Elephas maximus indicus: one gene and its partners. The protein of the gene in region 1 purifies or fractionates together with the protein of each later gene. This does not show direct contact. Links are inferred from orthologs where the notes say so. Each region holds a gene or a part of one and is shown in the gene's direction. Other genes may lie near its edges.

Evidence for each region.
Region 2: the proteins of PRR3 (region 1) and DHX37 purify together in Homo sapiens (co-immunoprecipitation; 3 studies listed by BioGRID and IntAct, with this or other methods). This does not show direct contact. The link is inferred for Elephas maximus indicus from reciprocal best matches to the Homo sapiens genes PRR3 and DHX37.
Region 3: the proteins of PRR3 (region 1) and RPUSD3 purify together in Homo sapiens (co-immunoprecipitation; 3 studies listed by BioGRID and IntAct, with this or other methods). This does not show direct contact. The link is inferred for Elephas maximus indicus from reciprocal best matches to the Homo sapiens genes PRR3 and RPUSD3.

The regions. Positions count from the first base shown.
Region 1 is NC_064819.1:90,904,765-90,911,305, forward strand, and holds the start of PRR3 (proline-rich protein 3), read left to right. Parts: upstream 1-2,304; 5' UTR 2,305-2,501; coding exon 2,502-2,607; intron 2,608-3,270; coding exon 3,271-3,333; intron 3,334-5,216; coding exon 5,217-5,507; intron 5,508-5,756; coding exon 5,757-5,863; 3' UTR 5,864-6,541. Other genes in the region: GNL1 (guanine nucleotide-binding protein-like 1), read right to left, coding at 1-71, 213-349, 711-876, 1,288-1,360.
Region 2 is NC_064840.1:5,653,699-5,660,239, forward strand, and holds the start of DHX37 (probable ATP-dependent RNA helicase DHX37), read left to right. Parts: upstream 1-2,289; 5' UTR 2,290-2,376; coding exon 2,377-2,482; intron 2,483-5,489; coding exon 5,490-5,659; intron 5,660-6,541. UniProt on the Homo sapiens protein: ATP-binding RNA helicase that plays a role in maturation of the small ribosomal subunit in ribosome biogenesis. Required for the release of the U3 snoRNP from pre-ribosomal particles.
Region 3 is NC_064838.1:34,811,865-34,818,405, reverse strand, and holds the start of RPUSD3 (mitochondrial mRNA pseudouridine synthase RPUSD3), read left to right. Parts: upstream 1-2,688; coding exon 2,689-2,813; intron 2,814-3,100; coding exon 3,101-3,240; intron 3,241-4,184; coding exon 4,185-4,229; intron 4,230-4,329; coding exon 4,330-4,429; intron 4,430-6,140; coding exon 6,141-6,248; intron 6,249-6,334; coding exon 6,335-6,419; coding exon of another isoform or gene 6,420-6,423; intron 6,424-6,541. UniProt on the Homo sapiens protein: Catalyzes uridine to pseudouridine isomerization (pseudouridylation) of specific mitochondrial mRNAs (mt-mRNAs), a post-transcriptional modification necessary for their translation.

The DNA.
Region 1 (6,541 bases):
TTCCTCCTGACTCATGAGTTGCTCCTTAGACATCTCATAACTCCAAGGAGGACGTCGGGGAAAGTCCAGGACTTGGAAACCAAAAAAAGTCCAAGTATGAAGATAGTTTCAGGACTCAAGGGTGCATCCCAAACCCTGCCTTCCTCAGTCAGCTCTGGCCCTTCCAAACTCCCTCCCTGTGCCAAATATCCTGGTGTTGACCTCTCCCTCACCTGAGCCAGGCTGATAGACCTCCTTGATGTCCAGCTCCAGCACCTCGGCACTGACAGGCTGTAGCACTTGTTCTCGGGCTGCTCTCTTTCTCCTCTCCACCTCCTCCCTGCTGTCCCGCTCAAAATGCAGCCGGTATCTAAGGAGACAGGGGCCAGGCATCCAGTGCAATCCTGTGGCCACAAACTCCATCTTCTCTCCTCTTGGACCAGCACCTTCTCAAAGCCTTCCCTCCACACTTGTTCAAATTTCCTCTCTTGGTTTGCCTTCCTCCAAGTCCCTCTTTCACGGATATTCGGCCTTCCCCTAAGCCTCACCCTCCTACAGCCAAAATCTCTCCACCCTCTAAAAGAGATGACTGTGGACCGCTAGAGGCATCCCAGCCCCACCTACTCCACTTTCAAGCCTCCACCAGCAGCAGCCCGCTTTCCCCTGGCGTTCTGATTTCCGGGTAGGCGGGGAGGCCCCGACCGGCACCCCCTCCCTCCGCCCACCCTCACCGATTTGGGTCGTAGCCTCGCGGGCCCAGCCCCTGGGAAGGCTGCTGGTTGAGCCTGCGGATATGATGGGTCACAGACTCCCCGTCCGAGGTATCGGTTTGCTCCTCTCGCCGCTCCCGGCTCCCGCTGCGGCTGTTGGAACTGGAGCGCAGCCCATCTTGAAGCCCTGCTGGGAGGGGCCGGTGACGCCAGCGCCGGCCGGTTCTCAGGGGCCATAAGATCCCCCTCCCCAGGCGGCCTGGCTCCTCCTCACCCCACCGCACCTCTTTCGAGGCCGGGCCCTTCTAGTCAGTCGGCCCAGGACCCCCCCGGAATTGCGTGAGGGGACTCACCCCTCCTCCAGAGAGCTGCGGGGATGGCGCCCCGTACGAGCTGAAGGGATTCCCCTCCCCCAACTCCCTCTCCTTCCCCATCCCTTCCAGATGTCGGGGGGCTAAGGTGGAGGAATCTCCTCTGCGATCGCCGGCGCGGGTCGTCGCGCGCTCCCCCCCTCCCACGCCCCCCAGAGGTGCGGAGGGCACACCTCTCCCTCCAGATGTGCGGGAGCCCGAGCCCCGCCCCCTCCTCCCTCGCTGACCTCGCTTCCGCTCTCGCTTGTCCTGCAACTGCTTCTTCTTCTGCTTCACGCTGAAGGGCTTCTTCCTCGGCATGGCCCGGACCAGACACCTGGCCCGCCCTCCGCCGAGCTCCCTCCGCCTCAACTGACTCCCCCCCGGCAGCCCCCGCCGCAGGGCCCCGGGACCCTAGAAGGGGCGGGGCTAGCAGGTGACGTCAGCGGGCGGGCCGGGCCACTCACCGCGTCGGCCTGACTGAAAGGCGGACAGGGCAAATACAGTCACTTCCCTCCAGGAGCGTGGCGAGAGGATGATGCCGCGTGGCCTACCCGCGCATGAGAGCCGGTCGCACCGAGAGGGCGCAGCGGCGGCAAGGAAAGAGGTGCGCGTGGGAGGATCGGGCTAACTTCGTCACGGACGCTACCAACTCGCTATCGGAGGAGGGGAGACGTATGTCATCACTACCTTGCGCGGCCGGCGAGAAGCTACCACTCACCTGGAGGGGGAGGCGGAGCGGAGGGCGGGCCCTACCACCCAGGGGAGAAGGGGGCGGGGACACATAGAAGCTCCCTTACCAACCCGGAGGCTTGACCTTAGTGGAGAGCCGAGACGGCGCGTCCCAGGAGTGAATACAGGTTGCTGGGCTACAGCTAGGGGCCGGGGCAGAGGTCCTGAAGGGCAGGTGGCGATCTGAAGAATCTCGGGCGCTGCTCTGCTGGGACCCAAATTCTTTGTGAGAATGATGACAAGGAGCGAGTTTACAGATTTATGTATAAGCGCGGGCGAGGAGGAAAACCTACATGGGATAAAGACTTTCGGAGAGAGGTCGGAGGGCACGAAGTTGTGCCTGCAGCTGTTACCATGGTAACCGGGTACCGGATGTGGCGATCTTAGGATGCGACAGCCCTCGCTTCTCAGGCCTCCTGGCCCAAGACCCTCTCGACTATATGGCACACTGTGAGGAACGGGTTGTGGTGTTTTCTCTGCGGCGAGGAAGAATAGAATATTTTTTAAGCCTCTATAAAAACGCAGCAAAGAGAAGGTTCTACATCGCGTCCATGCCTGGCAAAGACCTGAGGATGCGGCTGCAGCAGAGACTCCCCGCAGCCTTCCGGAAGTGAAATGGCGGGAGTCTCAGCCTCACTGTCCACCGTCCCCCCGGAAGCGGAAACAGAATCCCAGCTTGCCCCTTCCTCACTGCCCTCCAAATTCTACTGCAGCCATTCCCGCAGCCACGATGCCAAAACGAAAGAAGCAGAATCAGCAGCAGCAGCTTCCACCGCCGCAGCCCCCACTGCCAGAGCCGGGAGAGACTGGAGACGAGGACGACAGAAGTCCCATCGGTGAGGAGCCCGGGAGGTGCACCTGCCTGTCAGCCCGTCCTGGCGAGGGGCTAGGGGCTGACAAGGTGGGGAGGAGATCCTCTAATGGAAGAAGGAAGGGTGCACGCGCTGGGAGAGGGGGCCTATCTGGGATGAAGCCCTGAACGTGGAGTTCTCTTATTTGGACTTTCAACCTTAATCTGACCCCCAAACCTTTTTAGAGAAGGCAGGGAGGAGAGGATAAAGAGCTCGTGCGCGCAGCCGCAGAACGGCAGGGGAGAGGAGCCGAAGAGAGGTTGCAGATTGGGGTGACTAGGATGATTTGTGATCAGATTTTCACAGGAAAGGTGAAAGTGCAGCCTTTTCTCAGCTGCTCTCTGGGGGGGGAGGGATGGGAAGGAGAATCACCTGGGATGTTTTGAATATCAACACTGTAAGAAAAATAGAAAGTTGTCAGTATCCTTCCCACATTATTCTCCCCAGGGCTGAGTCTCTACTTTTTGCAAACCCTGACACAGGTTTGCAGAGAAAGGGCAGATAAGTGGAGTGAGAACTGGGCAACATGGCTGAGAATATATTTGGCTTTGTTGGTTGGACTAAGAAATGTGTAATAGAAGAAAAACACACGTAAGAACTCAGTCATTTAGTCCACTCTAGTGACCATATTTTCATGTCTACTCTCAGGACCACCCAGCCTTCTGGGCCCTCCCCCCATGGCCAATGGAAAGCCTGGTGACCCCAAGTCAGGTGAGAAGGAAGGGGCCCTGAACCTTGGATTAAATCCTAGAGAAGGGAGCAAGGGAGGGAGTAAAACCCAGGCGGGACCTTAAATCAAAAGACCAGTGCTTCTGTGCCTAAGTAAATGGAGAGATGTTGATAGTCACAGAGTGGAAACTCAATGTTGTAAAAATGTCATTTCTTCCCAAATTGATCCATAGTTTCAATGCATTCCCAGTCAGAATTCTATCATTTTCTTGTGGAGATAAAGATTCCACCTACATGTCAGAGTGATAAACTGCCAAGATAGTCTTGAAGAATAAAATAGAGGCCTTACTCTGAATATCAAAACTTAATTATAACAGTATGGTATTAGCACGGTGGTAGACCTATAAGTCAATAGAACAGCACAGAGCTCAGAAACAAGCCTACACGTATATGTATTATGATGAAGGTGGCATTAGAAAGGTGGTCTTTTCAGTAAATGGTGCTGGGTCAATTGTATGTTCGTGTGGGAAAAAACAAACTCTTAATCATACTGGGTACAAAAATCAATTCCAAGTGGACTGTAGATCTATAAGTGTGAAAAGTAGAAGAATAATTCTAGAAAAAAGTTCTTACCACCAAGAAACACACACACTAACCGTAGAGAAAAGATCACTAAATTGAACTATGCTAAAAAATATAAACTTCTGTTTATTTAAGAGCGCAAAGGAGTCCCTGGGTGGCACAAACAGTTAAGTGCTCGACTACTGGCCGAAAGATTGGCAGTTCCAACCCACCCGTGGGGCCTTGGAAGATAGGCCTGGCAGTCTGCTTCCAAGGATCACAGCCTTGAAAACCCTAGGAAGCAGTTCTACTCTGCATATATGGGGTTGCCATAAATCGGAATCAACTTGAGGGCAACTAACAAAAAAACTCAAAAGGAAGTGATAGAGTGAGAGAAGATGTGTGCAATGTATGTAATCAATGTGGAGCTTGTATTAAAGAGCTCTTCCAGACAGTCTGTTAGAGAAATGGCAAAAGATGAGAACAGGCACCATCAGAAAAGAGGAGATCTGACTGGCCAATAACATGTGAATAAATACTCAACATTAGTCATCAAATGAATGCAAGTTATAAACAACACCACTTTTCACACTCGCCAGATGACTAAAATGAAAGACTGGCAATAGCAAGTGTTGTCAAAGATATGGAACAACTGCCAGTGGGAGTACAAATTGGTACAACCACACTGAAAAAAATTGACATTAGCTATTAAACTTGAACATACATGTACTCTGTGGCCCAGCAGTTCCTCTACTACGTATATACTCAACAGAAATGCATACATAATGTGTGACAAAGACATGTATAAAAATGTTCACAGCAGCATTTTTCGTTATAGCCCCAAACTGGAAACCACCCACATGTCCATCACCAGTAGAATGGATAAATAAATTGTTGTATATGCATGCAATGGGATACTACACTGCAATGAAAATGAACGAACTACTGCTACAGGCAACCAACCTGGATGAATCTCACAAACATGATGTTGAGCGAAAGAAGCCAGACACAAAAGAATGCAGACTGTATGATTCCATTTATGCGAAGTTCAAAAACAGGCAAAAACTAACCTATGGTGTTAGAAGTCAGGATAGTGGTTATCTTTGGGAGGAGGGCGGGATAGTAAGGGGCAGGGGCACATGGGGGGACTTATGAAGTGTTAATAAGGTTCTATTTCTTCACCTGGGTGGTGGTAACAGGTGTGTTTACTTTGTGATAATTGAGTTATATACTTAAATCTGGTGTATTCTGTATGTATATTGTACTTCAATAAAAAGTAAAAATAAGATCAGGATTTCTGTATCGGGATTAAGCTGGCTATTGATCACCTTTCTGTGTCTTCCTCTCTTTGTTTCTCTTTGCAGCTCTTCATAGAGGTCCTCCAGGATCAAGGGGACCATTGATTCCACCACTGCTGAGTCTCCCACCTCCTCCCCGGGGTAGAGGGCCAATGCGGGGAGGCCTAGGTCCCAGATTTGGCCCATATGGTCATGGTTGGTGGGGAGTCAATGCTGAACCTCCTTTTCCTGGGCCAGGCCATGGGGGTCCCTCCAGGGGAGGCTTTCACAAAGAACAAAGAAACCCTCGAAGGCTCAAAAGCTGGTCTCTCATCAAGAATACCTGCCCTCCCAAAGATGGACCACAGGTTACGGAAGGTGAGCTCCATTATTTTTAGCCTGTACAGAGAATATCCATGACTCTTCTCCTTTAGGCTGTTCTTTTTTTTGCTTGAAGTAAAAGTCCTGAATGTTTCTTCTCCCAGCATAAAGACTACCATTCCAAAATACCCGGAAACGATAAGGAGTAGGAAATCTGACCTTCCTCTCTCTCTCTCTCTGCTTTTTGTGACATTTGTTTCTTTTCCTACTCAGGTTTTAAACTGCCCAATTTTCACTCGTTCACAGACAAATCCGACCGCCCCGTCTGCCGACACTTTGCCAAAAAGGGCCATTGTCGATATGAAGACTTCTGTGCCTTCTACCATCCAGGCGTCAATGGACCTCCTCTGTGAGACTGTGCCTTCCCATCCAGGCTGGAACGAGCCCTCTGTGACCTAGCGGCCATAATCTCCCTGTGGCCCTGTGATGGCTGCTGTGAGGCTCTCCGCCTGACACCCTGAATCAGTGACGCACCTATCCCCATCCATCACCTCCCCGTTTGGGGTCCAACGTTGTGTTTCATCACTGGTGCGCAGTGTGCGCTCTTGTGATCCGGCCTCGAGAGACTCGTCTTTGGGGCTCCATCTTTGCTCCCTTCAGCTGCCTCCTGGATCCTCTTCCCCCTTGCCAAATGACTGCTGAACAGGAAACCTCGTTGGTGCTGTTTCTCGTGCATCTGTCCACCCATACGCAGTATTGCCCTCTATTCCTGAGAGCCCTGGAGCAGTTTCCTACCATTCCTTTCTTCTAGCTGCTTGTTCGAAGTCCTTTTTATGTGACTCCCCCTGCCCCTAATGTTGTCATCTGCTCTGTGAAACTCACCAGGTTGCCAGGCCTGGGGTCAAGTGTGAGTGACTGGTACAGAGTTACTCCCTGAAAGGCCACTCTCCCTGCTTTTGGATTTTGTAGTTTCTGTGTCAGTAGCATGAGCCCCATCGCTATGGTCTGTGATCACTGTGCTTTGTGAAGCTGTGCATCCCCTCGTAGCCTTTCTCAGTGTTTGTGGCATTTTTGTGGCTTCCCAACACTAG
Region 2 (6,541 bases), on another chromosome or scaffold:
TGGCCGCCATTGCTCAAGGCAAGGGTACCAGCTCTTCATTTTGAAAATTGTGAATAAAAGGAAAAGTCTCAAACGTCTCTCCTGCCCTTCCTGAACGAACTGTACGCGGGGTCACCAAACAGTTGAGAAAGAAAAGTTCTGGTTAGAAAAGATCAGCTAATAAATGAGGAGGGAACGTGAGAATTGGAAAATCGTCCTACACCCCTTCACGAAACGACGGATCCAGGCGACGGTCACGGAAAGGGACTAAGATGAGGGGGTGAAAGTGGAGCGACCAGCTCGCCCTGACCCGAGACCCCCATCAATGGCAGTGTCAGGAGGTAGCGGGGGCCACCTGTGATGGACTCGACCTGATGAGGCCTCTAGGTCTAACTGACAGTTTACAGGAAACGGGGGACAGAGAACAAATGAGAAGCAGCAGAAGCAATCACCCAAGTCCGAAATGTGTGGCATCTGTAGGACAAGTGACTCATTTCTTCTACAAATAAATGGCCCCAAAAGGGAGAGGAGTATTGATTTCAAAACCACTGTGCTCCCAGGGCTCCTAGTAGAGTTAAGAACCTAATAATCAAATGCATTTTGAAAACCTGGTTTCCATCCTAAGTCAAGCAAACCAAGTCCAATAAGAGGTTTTTTTTGAGACAACTAGGGAAATGAAACTTAATTTTTGCCAATCTGAGAATAAAACGTGTCTTATGTTTGAATGTACGTTTTCTGGGTTCCCGATGAGGTTTTCCTAAATGTGTTGGCCATTTGATTTGCTCCTATGTGAACTGGCTGTTCGTATCCTTGAAAAAAACCCAGACAACCAAAACCCATTGCCGTAATTCCGACTCACAGCGACCCTATAGGACAGAGTAGAGCTGCCCCCATAGGATTTCCGAGGAGCGGCTAGCCGACCTTTTGGTTTGCAGCCGAGCTCATAACCACTATACCACCAGGTTTCTGTTCATATCCTTACAGCATTTTTTTTTTAAATATTTGCCTTCTTTTTTTCTAAGTAAACTTTTTTATTGAGATGTTACATACATACATAATACAATGCATTTTCACAAACTGAACACAGGGTAACCAATGCTCAAATACAGAAAGGGGGCGTGAGCAGCCCCAGAAAAGCCCCCTTTATCTCTTCCCGTTTACTGTGTCCCCCCTCTCCCAAATTTAGGAGATTCATTTTGCTTGTTTTTGAACTTTATGTAAACGGAGCTTCTTTTGTTCAACATTATATTTATGAGATTCATCCATGTTGTGTATATGTCTTTTTTTCTTCTTGATTTATAGGATGTTCTTTATGTCTTCTGGAGGCTAATTCTTTGGTAAATAATATTTTAGAAAGAAATACAGGAAAATATATTATTACCTACTTAATGTTTTTTTTTAATGTTTTTTGAATGGATGCACTTTTTATTTACTTAAGTAAATCTATTTAAAGAAGAAATGGTAGATCTCTATCATCTATAACTTTTTTTTTGCAAAAATCAATTGAAATTATAACTAAAAAATGTTCATATGTAGACTACCTAAATCCTCTGGTGCACTATTTGTAGATTTTGGTTTATTGTGATTTTTTTTTTCTTTGCAGGATTTAGGGAGCTTATCCAAATTCAATCACACTCTTCACTCATTAATTCCTTCATTCAGCAAATATTTATTGCTTACCTAAAATTTTTTTTTTTTTTTTTACTCTGCAGCCAGAGGTTGTTCTAGGTTCTGCAAGTGTTTTTCTTGGGGCAGTTAAAAAAAGATAACTTTATCCTTTCCAAAATTCTAAAATAACTTCTAGTGCCTTCACCTTTTTGAGTGTGTCAATTTAAATGTTTGCCCTTAACGAAATAATGCTTATTAAAAAAAAAAAGACAGTACGATGTAACTGTCCTATTCCTAAAATAATTATAGGATTCAGAAAATACATTATTTCTGAGCACACTACAGTATAATGTGGTAATGAGAGAGTTTAAAGGTTTCTAACAGGTGCCTGGAGGAGCGCTGGTGATGCCGCTTTGGGGAGAAAGATGTGGCAGTCTGCTTCCGTAAGGATTTACAGCCTTGGAAACCTTGTGGGGCAGTTCCGTTTTGTCCTGTAGTAGGGTCGCTGTGAGTTCGAATAGACTGGCCCGTCAAGGGTTTTTTTTTGTCTTGTTTTAAATAGATACCTTCTTCTGCCTCTGGCTCCGCCCTCCCTGCACCTGGCCCCACCCCTCTGCCCGCCCCTTTCCGCACAATCCCGCCTCCAGCCCCACCCCTCAGTGACCCAGGCCGTCGTAGTTCTCGCGAGAGCTCAACCCGGAAGTCTCACGAGGTAGACGGGTGGTCTGGCAACCCACGTGGGTTGGGCTTCGGACAGTGTTGCGAGTCGGCCCACGGAATCCGAGCGCCATGGGGAAGCTGCGCCGGCGGTACAACATCAAGGGGCGCCAGCAGGCGGGCCCTGGCCCCTCGAAGGGACCCCCCGAGCCGCCTCCAGTGCAGCTGGAACTCGAGGGTAAGGGATCTCGGGACAGAGGGCTGGGAGCCACAAGATGGGTCGCCTAGGGCAACGCCGCCAGGACCCGGAGCCAGGGACCCTCCGGACTGTGCCCTACCTTCCCTACTCTGGGGCGGGGTCCTAGGGAGGAGCCCCCATTTCAGATGACCCTAAGGCAGGAGGGCAGTACAGCCTAGATTTAACAGTGAATGCGGGCCTTGCCTGGATTTCTCTCGCATAGGGTCCGACCCTATATAAAAGCATGAGAATTCGGGCAAGAAAACGAGATAATTTCATCCATTCTGGCGCCTTCGATTATAATCTCCGTGCCAGCGACCCTTAACTTTCAGACCTGTCAGCTCAGCTTCAGGACCTCGACATTTCTGGTCGGACGCCTCCTTTCTAGTAGATTCGCCTGGAGACATAGCAGAAAACAGATTTTAAAGAATCCTGCTTTCCTGAGTTTACATACTTCTGGGAGGAGAGAGGCAAAGATAAACGCTAAGCTGTATAAAATATTACCTGGCTATAAAAAAAAAAAAAAACTGGCTATACTAAGGATATAAACAGAGGAGGTGGGTGGGGGTGGGCTACAGTGTTCCATAGGGTGACCAGGCGGGATAGGGGGGTAAGGCCTCACCCAGAAAGTGTTATTTGCGTCAAACCTGGAGGAGGCCAGAGTGGCAGAAAGAACCGGCCGGATCGTGTAGGATCCTGAAGACTTTGGCTTTCACTCTGAGGGAGCTGGGAGCCATGGGAGGGTCTAGAGCAGATGAGGGACACAACCTGGACTTAGGTTTTTTTGTTAATTTTTATTGTGCTTTAAGTGAAATTTACAAATCAAGTTAGACTTAGGTTTTAACGGCATCCCTTGGGCTGCTGTGTTGAGGGAAATCCTTGGGGACAAAAGGGTGATCGGCAAGGAAGCTGTTTATCACGTTAATTCAGAACAGGAGTCAGTGGTGGAGGAGGTGAGAAGTGGTTGGGTTCAGGATGCATTTTGAAGGTGGAGTTGACAGGATTTTCTGACTGACTCGGTGCCTGTATGAGAACAGAGGAGGAGTTAGGAATGATTCCCAGGCCTCGGGCTCAGTCTCTGGAGGACGCTGGGGGTGGGGGGTAGCCTGGGAATGGCTGTGTATGTGAGTGGTTGGCATGCCCGTTAGATATCCAGGCAGGCAGCTGGTGATTCGGATGCTCAGGAGAGCCAGGTCCAGGCAGAGACAGCGGTTTGGGAGTCATCCTCATCTAGATGGTACTATCTAAAGTCGGAAGATGGGATGGCTCACTCAGGCAGTGAGTGTGGACCAAGCAGGGAAGAGGTCAACGGACTTGAGGCCTGGGGCTGTCAGGACTGGAGGACAGGAAGAGTCTGCAACAGAGATGGAGCACCTGTGAGGAGGGTGGAGAGCCTGGTGGCCCTGGGGACCAGGGAGGAGACTCACCCTCAGAGTCAGGGAGGGAGAGAAGGACCATAAGGTTTATCACTTGGCAGGGGGGTGACCTCGACAGGAGCAGTTTCAGAGGAGAGTTGAGGCAAAGCTGGATGGAGTGGGTTCAAGGACAAGGACGTCTTGCAGGCTCCTGAAACTGCACGTGTACTAAATTGAACTCATCTAGCAGCTTGAATGTAAGCTCCTGAAGGGCCTGGCAGAGTAACCCGCTGCCATTGAGTTATTTCTGTAGCAACCCTGTAGGACAGGGTACAATTGCCGCATAGGGTTTCCAAGGATGTAATCTTTATGGAAGCAGGCTGCCTCAGAGCAGCTGGTGGGTTTGAACTGCTGACCATTTGGTTAGCAGCCAAGAGCTTTAACCACTGCACCACCAGGGCTCCTCCTGGCAGGTTAGGCATTAGGAAAGAATGGGCCCAGATTCTGGAGACGGAGGGAGGGAAGGGGAGCCAGGGCTGCTGGAGAAGCCTGTTGTCCTCAATCCACCAGTGTGTGCTCTGAGGTTCCACATTCTGGTTCAACCTGGGTGGCAGCGAGGGCGCCAGAAAGGCAGCAGGGTGGGATTCCAGTGGCCTGAATTCCCTTCTTGGAAGTGGCGCAGATCGGCTGGGAGTTGAGGCTGATTGACTCTCTGTGCCTGTGTTTCTTTATCTGTAAAACATGACCAATGGTAATAGCTGTCCTACCTGTTCTTAGAGTTTTGGAATTCTGGGGAAACATGTTTATGGCTGAAGTAAGGATGCTTTGAAAAGTGAAGAAGGTGGAGGTGTGGCATGTCCCATGACGGACATCAACCATTGTAGGAACAGCAACAGCTCAGAGCATGAGAGGGTCCCACCAAGAAGGCAGAAGACACCGGGGTGACATTTTTAACTGGGTGATCAGAGCAGAGGGGCTGAGGCCTCTTGTACTCAAAAGATTTGGGAGAAGTTGTTTCTAACATCAAAATGAGACATCTGTGTTTATCCTCGCCTTCCTCAAAGGCCAGTGGGATCTTTCAGCAACATAAGTCAGATTGCACTCCTGCTTAAAACCTTCTAATGAATTTCTGCACATATAGGATAAAATCCTGCCTCCAGCCCTATGTGATCCTGCTGCCTCCGCTCCACTTTGACCTTCTCTGTCCCCGTGGAGCCCCAGAGTGGTGCAGTGGTTAAGTGCTAGGCCACTGATTAAAAGGTTGGCAGTTCGAGTCCACCCAGAGGTACCTTGGAAGAAAGGCCTGGTGATCTCCTTCTGAAAAACCAGCCACTGAAAACCCTATGGAGCTCAGTTCTACTCTGACACACGAGAGGTCACCATGAGTTGGAGTCAACTCTGTGGCAACTGGTTTTGGTTTTTCCTATTCCTATTCCCCCCCGCCCTTTCTGTCTGTTGCACTTATACCAGCATCCTTGCTGTTAACTGAGACACACTAAGCTTCCTCCTGCCCCAGGCCTACACCTGTTGGTTCTGTGTGTACAGGGGTTTACAGATGGGGCAGGAGGGCAGCTGGCAGTGACACCATGGTATGTGTGCATCATAAGTGTCTGGCCTCCGGGGCTGTGGATGAGCCAAGCATATCTTTTCAGATAAGGGGACGTTGAAAGGCATTGATGCAAGCAATGCACTCGTTCTTCTGGGGAAGAAGAAGAAGAAAACCAAAGCCCCTCCCCTATCGAAGAAGGAGAAGAAACCTCTGACCAAGAAAGAGAAGAAAATGCTGCAGAAAATCTTAGAACAGAAGGAAAAAAAGAGCCAGGTACGCCCCACTCTCTGAGGGCTGGAGAGTGGGGAGAGATGTGGGGTCTGCATCCCACAGTGCCATCCAGTAGAACATTCTAGAATAAAGGAAATGTTCTATGTCTGCCTGCATGTGGCTACTGAGTATTTGAAATGTGGCCAGTGTGACTGAGAAATTGAAATTTTTTATTTTATTTAATTTTAATAAATTTAAATTCGGATAGCTATATGTGGCCGCAGTTACTGTACTGGACACACAGTTCTAGAGTGTTCAAACTCTTCCGGCAGGGAGCTCCTTGGGTCTCAGTCAATCTAGCATGTGTCCAGGTATGCTGAGGCCCTGATGTTAGTTTGTTAGCTGGGGAGTACGTAGATCAATGCTCTCTTTTTTTTTTTTTTTTAATTTTTGTTATTCTTGTTGAGAATATACACAGCAGAACATAAACCAATTCAACGATTTCTACATGTACAATTCAGTGACATTGATTATACTCTTCGGTTGTACCACGGTTCTCACACTCATTTTCCAACTTGTTCCTCCCCTATGAACATAAACTCACTGACCCCTTAGGTTCCCTTCTAGTCTTTTGAATTGGCTGTTGTCAGTTTGATCCCACGGCGGTTCTTAAAACAGCACAATGCTCAGACATTCTTTCTTAATTAAACTAAGCTATTTTGTTTTTAAACTTTTTAGGCACTGGGTTAAGCTATTTTTAGGTCATTTTGTGTTATTTATTTTTTAATTTTAGAGAATTTCGAACTGCTTTCCTTATTTTACTCACAGTAACAGTCCTTTAATATAAAATCCAACATTTTCACCCTTCAACGTGTACAGTTCAGTGGGTTCCAGTGTATTCATGGTGTTGTGTTACCATCACTACTGGACCAGCCGCCCAAAGCT
Region 3 (6,541 bases), on another chromosome or scaffold:
TATGACTGCTAACCAAAAGGTCAGCAGTTTGAATCTACCAGGCGCTCCTTGGAAACTCTATGGGGGAGTTATACTCTGTCCTATAGAGTTGCCGTGAGTTGGAATCCACTCGATGGCAACAAGTTTGGTTTGATTTTTTTTTTTAGACAAACCTAGGTTATCAAAGCTAGAGTCTGGAGACTTAGTGCAGGCAGCTGACCCAGAATCCTGCAGCTCTGTGTGGAAGGAGCTGCCAAAGCTGGTAGAGAAGCACTTGCTATTCTGGGCTCTCCTGCTCTTGCAGTTTTTGCTGGAGGCCTGGCTCAGGGTCAGGCTGCCTCCATGGGCTGGCCTTCTTGCAGGAAGCCCCAATGTTTCCCCAGCACAGAAGGTATTCCCATCAACCCTTGCTGAAGCCGTGGTCTGCCTGTCCCTCATGTGAAGTTACTGATCGATGATTTAGGTTAGGGTGGGGGTGGAAGCTTGGCATTTGTCCCAAGCTCCTTCAAATGAAGAAGAACGCAGCATCAAGATTGGATGAAAACTTATTAACAACCTGTGATATGCAGATGACACAACCTTTCTTTCTAAAAGTAAAGAGGACTGGGAGCACTTACTGATGAAAATCAAAGACTACAGCCTTCAGTATGAATTACATATCAACATAAAACAAAAATCCTCACAACTAGACCAATAAGCAACATCATGATAAATGGAGAAAAGAAAATGTGAATCATTTTACTTGGATTCACAATCAACACCCATGGAAGCAGCAGTCAAAAAATCAAATGACACATTGCATTGGGCAAATCTGCTGGAAAAGACTTCTTTGAATGTTAAAAAGCAAAGATGTCGCTTTGAGGATTAAAGTGTGCCTGACCCAAGCCATGGTATTTTCAATCGCCTCATACGCATGTGAAAGCTGGACAATGAATAAGGAAGACTGAAAAATTGATGCCTTTGAACTATAGGGTCGCTATGAGTCAGAATTGACTCGACGGCAGTGGTATTTTTTTTTTTTTAATTATAGTATTGGTGAATATTGAAAATACTATGGATTACCAAAAGAACAAACTAGTCTGTCTTGGAAGAAATACACCCAGAATGCTCCTTGGAAGCAAGGATAGCGAGACTTCATCTTATGTGCTTTGGACATGTTACCAGGAGGGACCAGTCCCTGGAGAAGAACATCATGCTTGGTAAGGTAGAGGGTCATCAAAAAAGAGGAAGATCTTCAACAAGATGGATTAACACAGTGGCTGTAACAATGGACTCAAACAGAGGAGTGATTTTGAGTATGGCACAGGACCAGGCAGTGTTTCATTCTATTGTACATAGGGTCTCTATGAGTTGGAACCAACTTGATGGCACCTCCCAACAATAACAATCACAGTATAGAGCCCATGATGTACTTTGCTTTTTTTCACTTATCTTCTCATTTCTCCTCATTGCTCCCTCCCTCTGCTTACCCCTTTCTTCTCCCCCTCCCACACCTTTTCCTCCTGGTGGATTTTTGTTAGTTCTTCACAAGTCATCTCAGATGGCCCTTTGCTTGGAAGCTTTCTCTGATCTGTGATTTCACCTCTGCCCATCATCGCACTTCTCTCAGCGTCTCCACAGCGTTTAGCAAGGTGAATTGTAATGCTATGACCCCAATCTTCTGTCAACTCAATGACCTTCTGTAGGCAGGGCCTGAGTTTTGTGGATCTGTGTTTTCAGCACAGAGATTGCAAGGGTCTTGCAACCAGCATAGAGTTTGTTGTTGTTGTTAGGTACCCTGCAGTTGATTTCCACTAATAGCAACCTAATGTGAGTGGAACTGCCCTGTAGGGTTTTCTTGTAATCTGTATGGAAGCAGTTGCCAGGTCTTTCTCCTTCAGAGTTGCTGCAGTGGGTTCCACTGGGTGGGTTCAAACCACCAACCTTTCAGTTAGCAGCCCAGCACTTAACCATTTTGCCACCAGGGCCCCTGGCATAGAGTTAGCATTAAAAAAATATTGACTGACTTATGTATTAAATTTATTTTGGAAACCCTGGTGGCGTAGTGGTTAAGAGCTAGGCTGCTAACCAAAAGGTCGGCAGTTCGACTCCACCAGACGCTCCTGGGAAACTCTATGGGGCAGTTCTACTCTGTCCTATAGGGTCGCTATGAGTCGGAATCGACTGAAAGGCAATGTTTTTTGGGGGGGGGAGAAGGGGGGTTAATAGATTTCACCACTGGACAATTTGTTTCCTAGTTTTGAAATTTGTTTTATTTTGCTTTGACAAGTAACGCTGTAGTTAATGTCTTTCTGCCTTTTTGGCCTTTTTCTCCGTTTGGATTATGCAACAGGCTGTGTTCTAGGGACAGGTTTACTGGACCAAAGGATGTGGGATTTTTTTTTTGCCAATTTGCCTTACGAAATTGTGCTTCAGTGGTGTTTTTCTGAGGCCAGGAAGCTCCTAAAAGTTGGAATGATGATCAGAGAACCTTGAACTTTCGTCCCAGTTTTGGTCCCGCCGTGCGCCTCAGTTTTCCCGAAAGCACAAAGTACGGATTTATTTATTTCCTTCTACCGACTCGACAGTAGTGGGTTGGTGGGCGGACCGGCAGAGGCAAAGCTCCGCCTCCTCACGGTTCTGAGCGCAGTCTCCTCGCTTATTCCGATTGACAGCCAATCTGACCAATCAGCGCACTGCAGGTGTGTGGGGCTGTCCTTCTGGACACACATGCGCACTGTCTTCGCAGCGGAGATGGTGGGCTGCTGTATTTGGGGCCGGAGCTGGGTTGGCTGGCGGCGGGGCCCTGGGGTCCGTGCAGCGCTCGCGGCCGCAGGCTTTGGCACCAAGGCTGGGTGATTACGCTCTACCCTCGTGTCGGAGAGAGGCAGGGGCGGCTCTGTGCAGGATCTGGAGCTAGATAGACATGGACTCTAATGCCGGCTCTGCTGTGTGCCCCTAAGCTAATCATTCGGCCTGAGTCTCAGTTCTCTCCTCTATAAAATGGGGCCAGTTGAACCAGACTTTTCGGGAAGCTCAGCCCAGGCATTCTGAAGAGGAGGCAGGGTTTGGAGAGAGGTGTGTGGAGATAGGAATGCGGCACCGCGAAACATCCACCGGTTGCTTCTCTCATCCTTTCCAGGCATCAGCTGCAACCTCAAGGCTCCAGTAAACGGTCGGGACCCCGCAGGGACCAACCATGTCCCGGGCTACTACGGCCAGAGGACCTCAGTCGCGAGGAGCTGGTTGATGTGCTGACAGCAGCCGTGGTGGATCAGAAAGGTGAGGGGTGATAAGCACAGCTGCACAGAGACCCGCGAGGGGAGCCTGCGGCTTCGAGCCTTCTAGGAGGCTGGCTGGGTTCGAGAAGCCCTGCGCTCAAATCCCAGTTCTGCCTTCCACTAGTAGCACGAGCTAAGGCGAGCAACGTAACCTCTCTGAACTTCATCATCTTGGGATAGGGGTGTGTGTGTGTAGGGAGTGGGTGTGTGGAGGGGATGCAAATAACTAGAGAGCCTTGCACTTACTAGGACTCAGTTATGGGAATTTCTATAGTAATAAATTATTTTTTATCGACAGACAAAACCCAGGCTTTGGAGTCAGATATCTAGGCTCTATACCAGCTTGCTATGTGGCTTTAGGAAAATCACTTAATTCCTCTGAGCCTCAGCTTCTCCATTCAGTGATTTATTGATTTTCTTAACTACTATTTTTGAGCACCTGCTATGGTCTGAGCACTGGCTGTACAGTGCTGAACAAGATAAATATGGTTTCTGCCCCCAGGGAGCCAACATTCTAGCAGGAGAAATGGATTAACCAGAAAATAAATGAACAAGTTACTTAACGGCGATCAGTGCTATGAATAAACTAAAACAGGGTGTTGTGATGGTGAGGGGCTGGGGAGGAAGGAGCAAACATTAGATTGGGGCTTCAGGCCTCTTTGTGGTGGTAATATATGAGCCAAGATGATATAGTAGGAGCCAGACATGTAAAAATCTGGGGCAGAGGAAATGGCAAGTGCAAAGGCCCTGAGGTGGCCTCAAATGGCATATTTGAGGGACAGAGAGAAGTTCAGTTTAGGATGGGGTTGATACCTCTTGACTGAGAGTTGTCATTGAGCTCACATGCTAACATACATGAGAAAGTGCTTTGTAAACTAAGGGTTGCACAAAGGTTAACTGTTGCTTTTGCTTCTGCCAGTGGTCATGTAACATCATGTATTTCAGGACCTCTAGTGACAGTCAACAAGCCACAGGGGCTGCCAGTAACAGGTAGGGATAGAGGGCAGGGGAAGGGAATGCTGTGAAAGGGGGTGTGACATCTAGCTATGGCCTCTGGGAGCAACCTGTAATTATCCTTCTTCTTTCCCAGGGAAACCAGGAGACCTGACACTGCTCTCAGTGCTGCCAGAGCTAAGCCAGTCACTGGGGCTCGGGGAGCGGGAGCTCCAGATTGTCCGAGCACCTGGGAAGTAAGTGGTAGGGGGTAATAAGAAGGTAGAAACAAAATAAAAAGCAAACCCATTGCCGCTGAGTCGATTCTGACTCATAGAGACCCTATAGGATACAGTAGAACTACCCCATAGGGTTTCCAAGGAGCGCCGGGTGTATTCAAACTGCCAACCTTTTGGTTAGAAGCCATAGCGCTTAACCACTACACCACCAGGGTTTCCAAAATAAGAAGGCAGGAGGCCAGGAAACCCTAAAAAAAAAAAAAGGTAGGAGGACAAGGAGCCACCTGGGGCGAGGAGACAGATGCTTGGGAATAAGCAAAGACAATTTCCAGACAAAGGTTTGGGATGACAGAGGTACGATGTGAGGGCTATGAAAAAGAGCAGGAAACCGACAGATCTTGGGTTCAAATCCCAACTGTTTTATTTACAAACTGTGTGAACCTGGGCAAAGAACAGAACCTCCCTGAGCCTCACCTCAGTTCCCTTAACTGTAAAACAGAGATAATAATACCTACCTCATGCTCACTGTGCAGGCATTTTCCCAATGCCATACCCATGGCAGGCATTGTTGGTCAATCCATGATACTCTTTCCTCCAGCTACCGTCAACTAGAGATGATACTTGAGATGAAATCTTTCTGCAAGTCCACAAACTCATGGGCTTGTGAAGAATTTGATTATTTAAGAGCTAATATATAGACCCATCAATCCCAGTCCTCAGTATATACCCAAAAGAAGTGAAGGCAAGAATGCATACAGATATCTGTATACCAGTGTTCACTGCAGCAGTTTTCACAATAGCCAAAAGTAGAAACAACCAAAATGTCCATCAGCAGATCGACTGATAAACAAAATGTGGTATATACACACAATGGAATATTATGCAGCCTTAAAGAGAAATGAAATCCTGCTGCATGTCACAACAAATGAACCTTGAAAACATTATGCTGAGCGAAATAAGTCAGTTGCGAAAGGACTGATCCCACTTATATGAAATAAGCAAATATATAGAAGCCAAAGATTTTTAACGGTTACCAAGAGTGAGAAGAGGGTGGAAGGGGGAGTTTTTGTTTGGGCGGCACTGGGTTTATGTTAATGGTGGTGGAATATTTTGGAAAAGGGTAGTGATAATGGTGGCCCAACCTAAAAAATATAATCAATGTCATCGAATTGTAAATATGGAAGTTGTGTTGGCAAATGTTGTAGTGTGTCTATTTTCATCACAATAAAAAGAAAAAAAGACCTAACATGTAAAATTCCTAGTACAGTATCTGGCATGTGGCAGACACTCAGCCGTGACCCCATGTGACAGAGTAAAACTGCTCCATAGGGTTTTCTAGGCTGTCATTTTTACAGAAGCAGGTCACTATGTCTTTCTCCCACAGAACTGCTGGGTGGGTTCGAACTACCAACCTCTCATTAAGCAGCCTAGCGCTTAACCATTGCACCACCATGGCTCCTTAGACACTCAGCAAATGGTGGTAATTTTTATGACATTTGGCTCTGAGCTCCCTGGTGGCCAGGGCAAAATGAGAAAAACATTGAGGTACACAGTCTTGTTATCAAACAAGGGGAAGCCTTACCTGTTCCTCAGGAGGATATCTGGGTTATTATAGTTCTGGTGTTACTGTTTGGCCTTCAGCAGGTCAGTGCCCCTTTCTAGGGGTCTCCTTTTTTGTGGGTGCACCCCTCAGAGACTTTAAGTTGTGTGATTTGTCCTCTTCCTCCAGGGATTCCTCTGGGCTTGTACTCCTTTCCAGTTGTCCCCAGACTGCAAGTCGCCTCCAGAAGTTCTTCACTCACTCATGCAGAGTCCAAAGACCGACAGCCACCTACTGGTGAGAAGCCCTGGGAGGCTCCCAGGGCAGTAGGGAGGTCCTAGCAGGCCACTCTGCAACCTCCTCCTGCCTTTTTCTCCCTGCAGTGCCATCACTGATGGGATCCCAGCTACCTCTGAGGGAAAGATCCAAGCGGCTTTGAAATTGGAACACATTGATGGGGCCAATCTTGTGAGTAAGGGTCTGACTGAGGAAGAGAAGGGTCCTTCCAGACAGTGTCCCTGACAGAGGAATCAGGGGTATAGACTTGGGGTGGCTGGCTCTCCTGTCCCCTAAAACAGGTAAGTGACCAC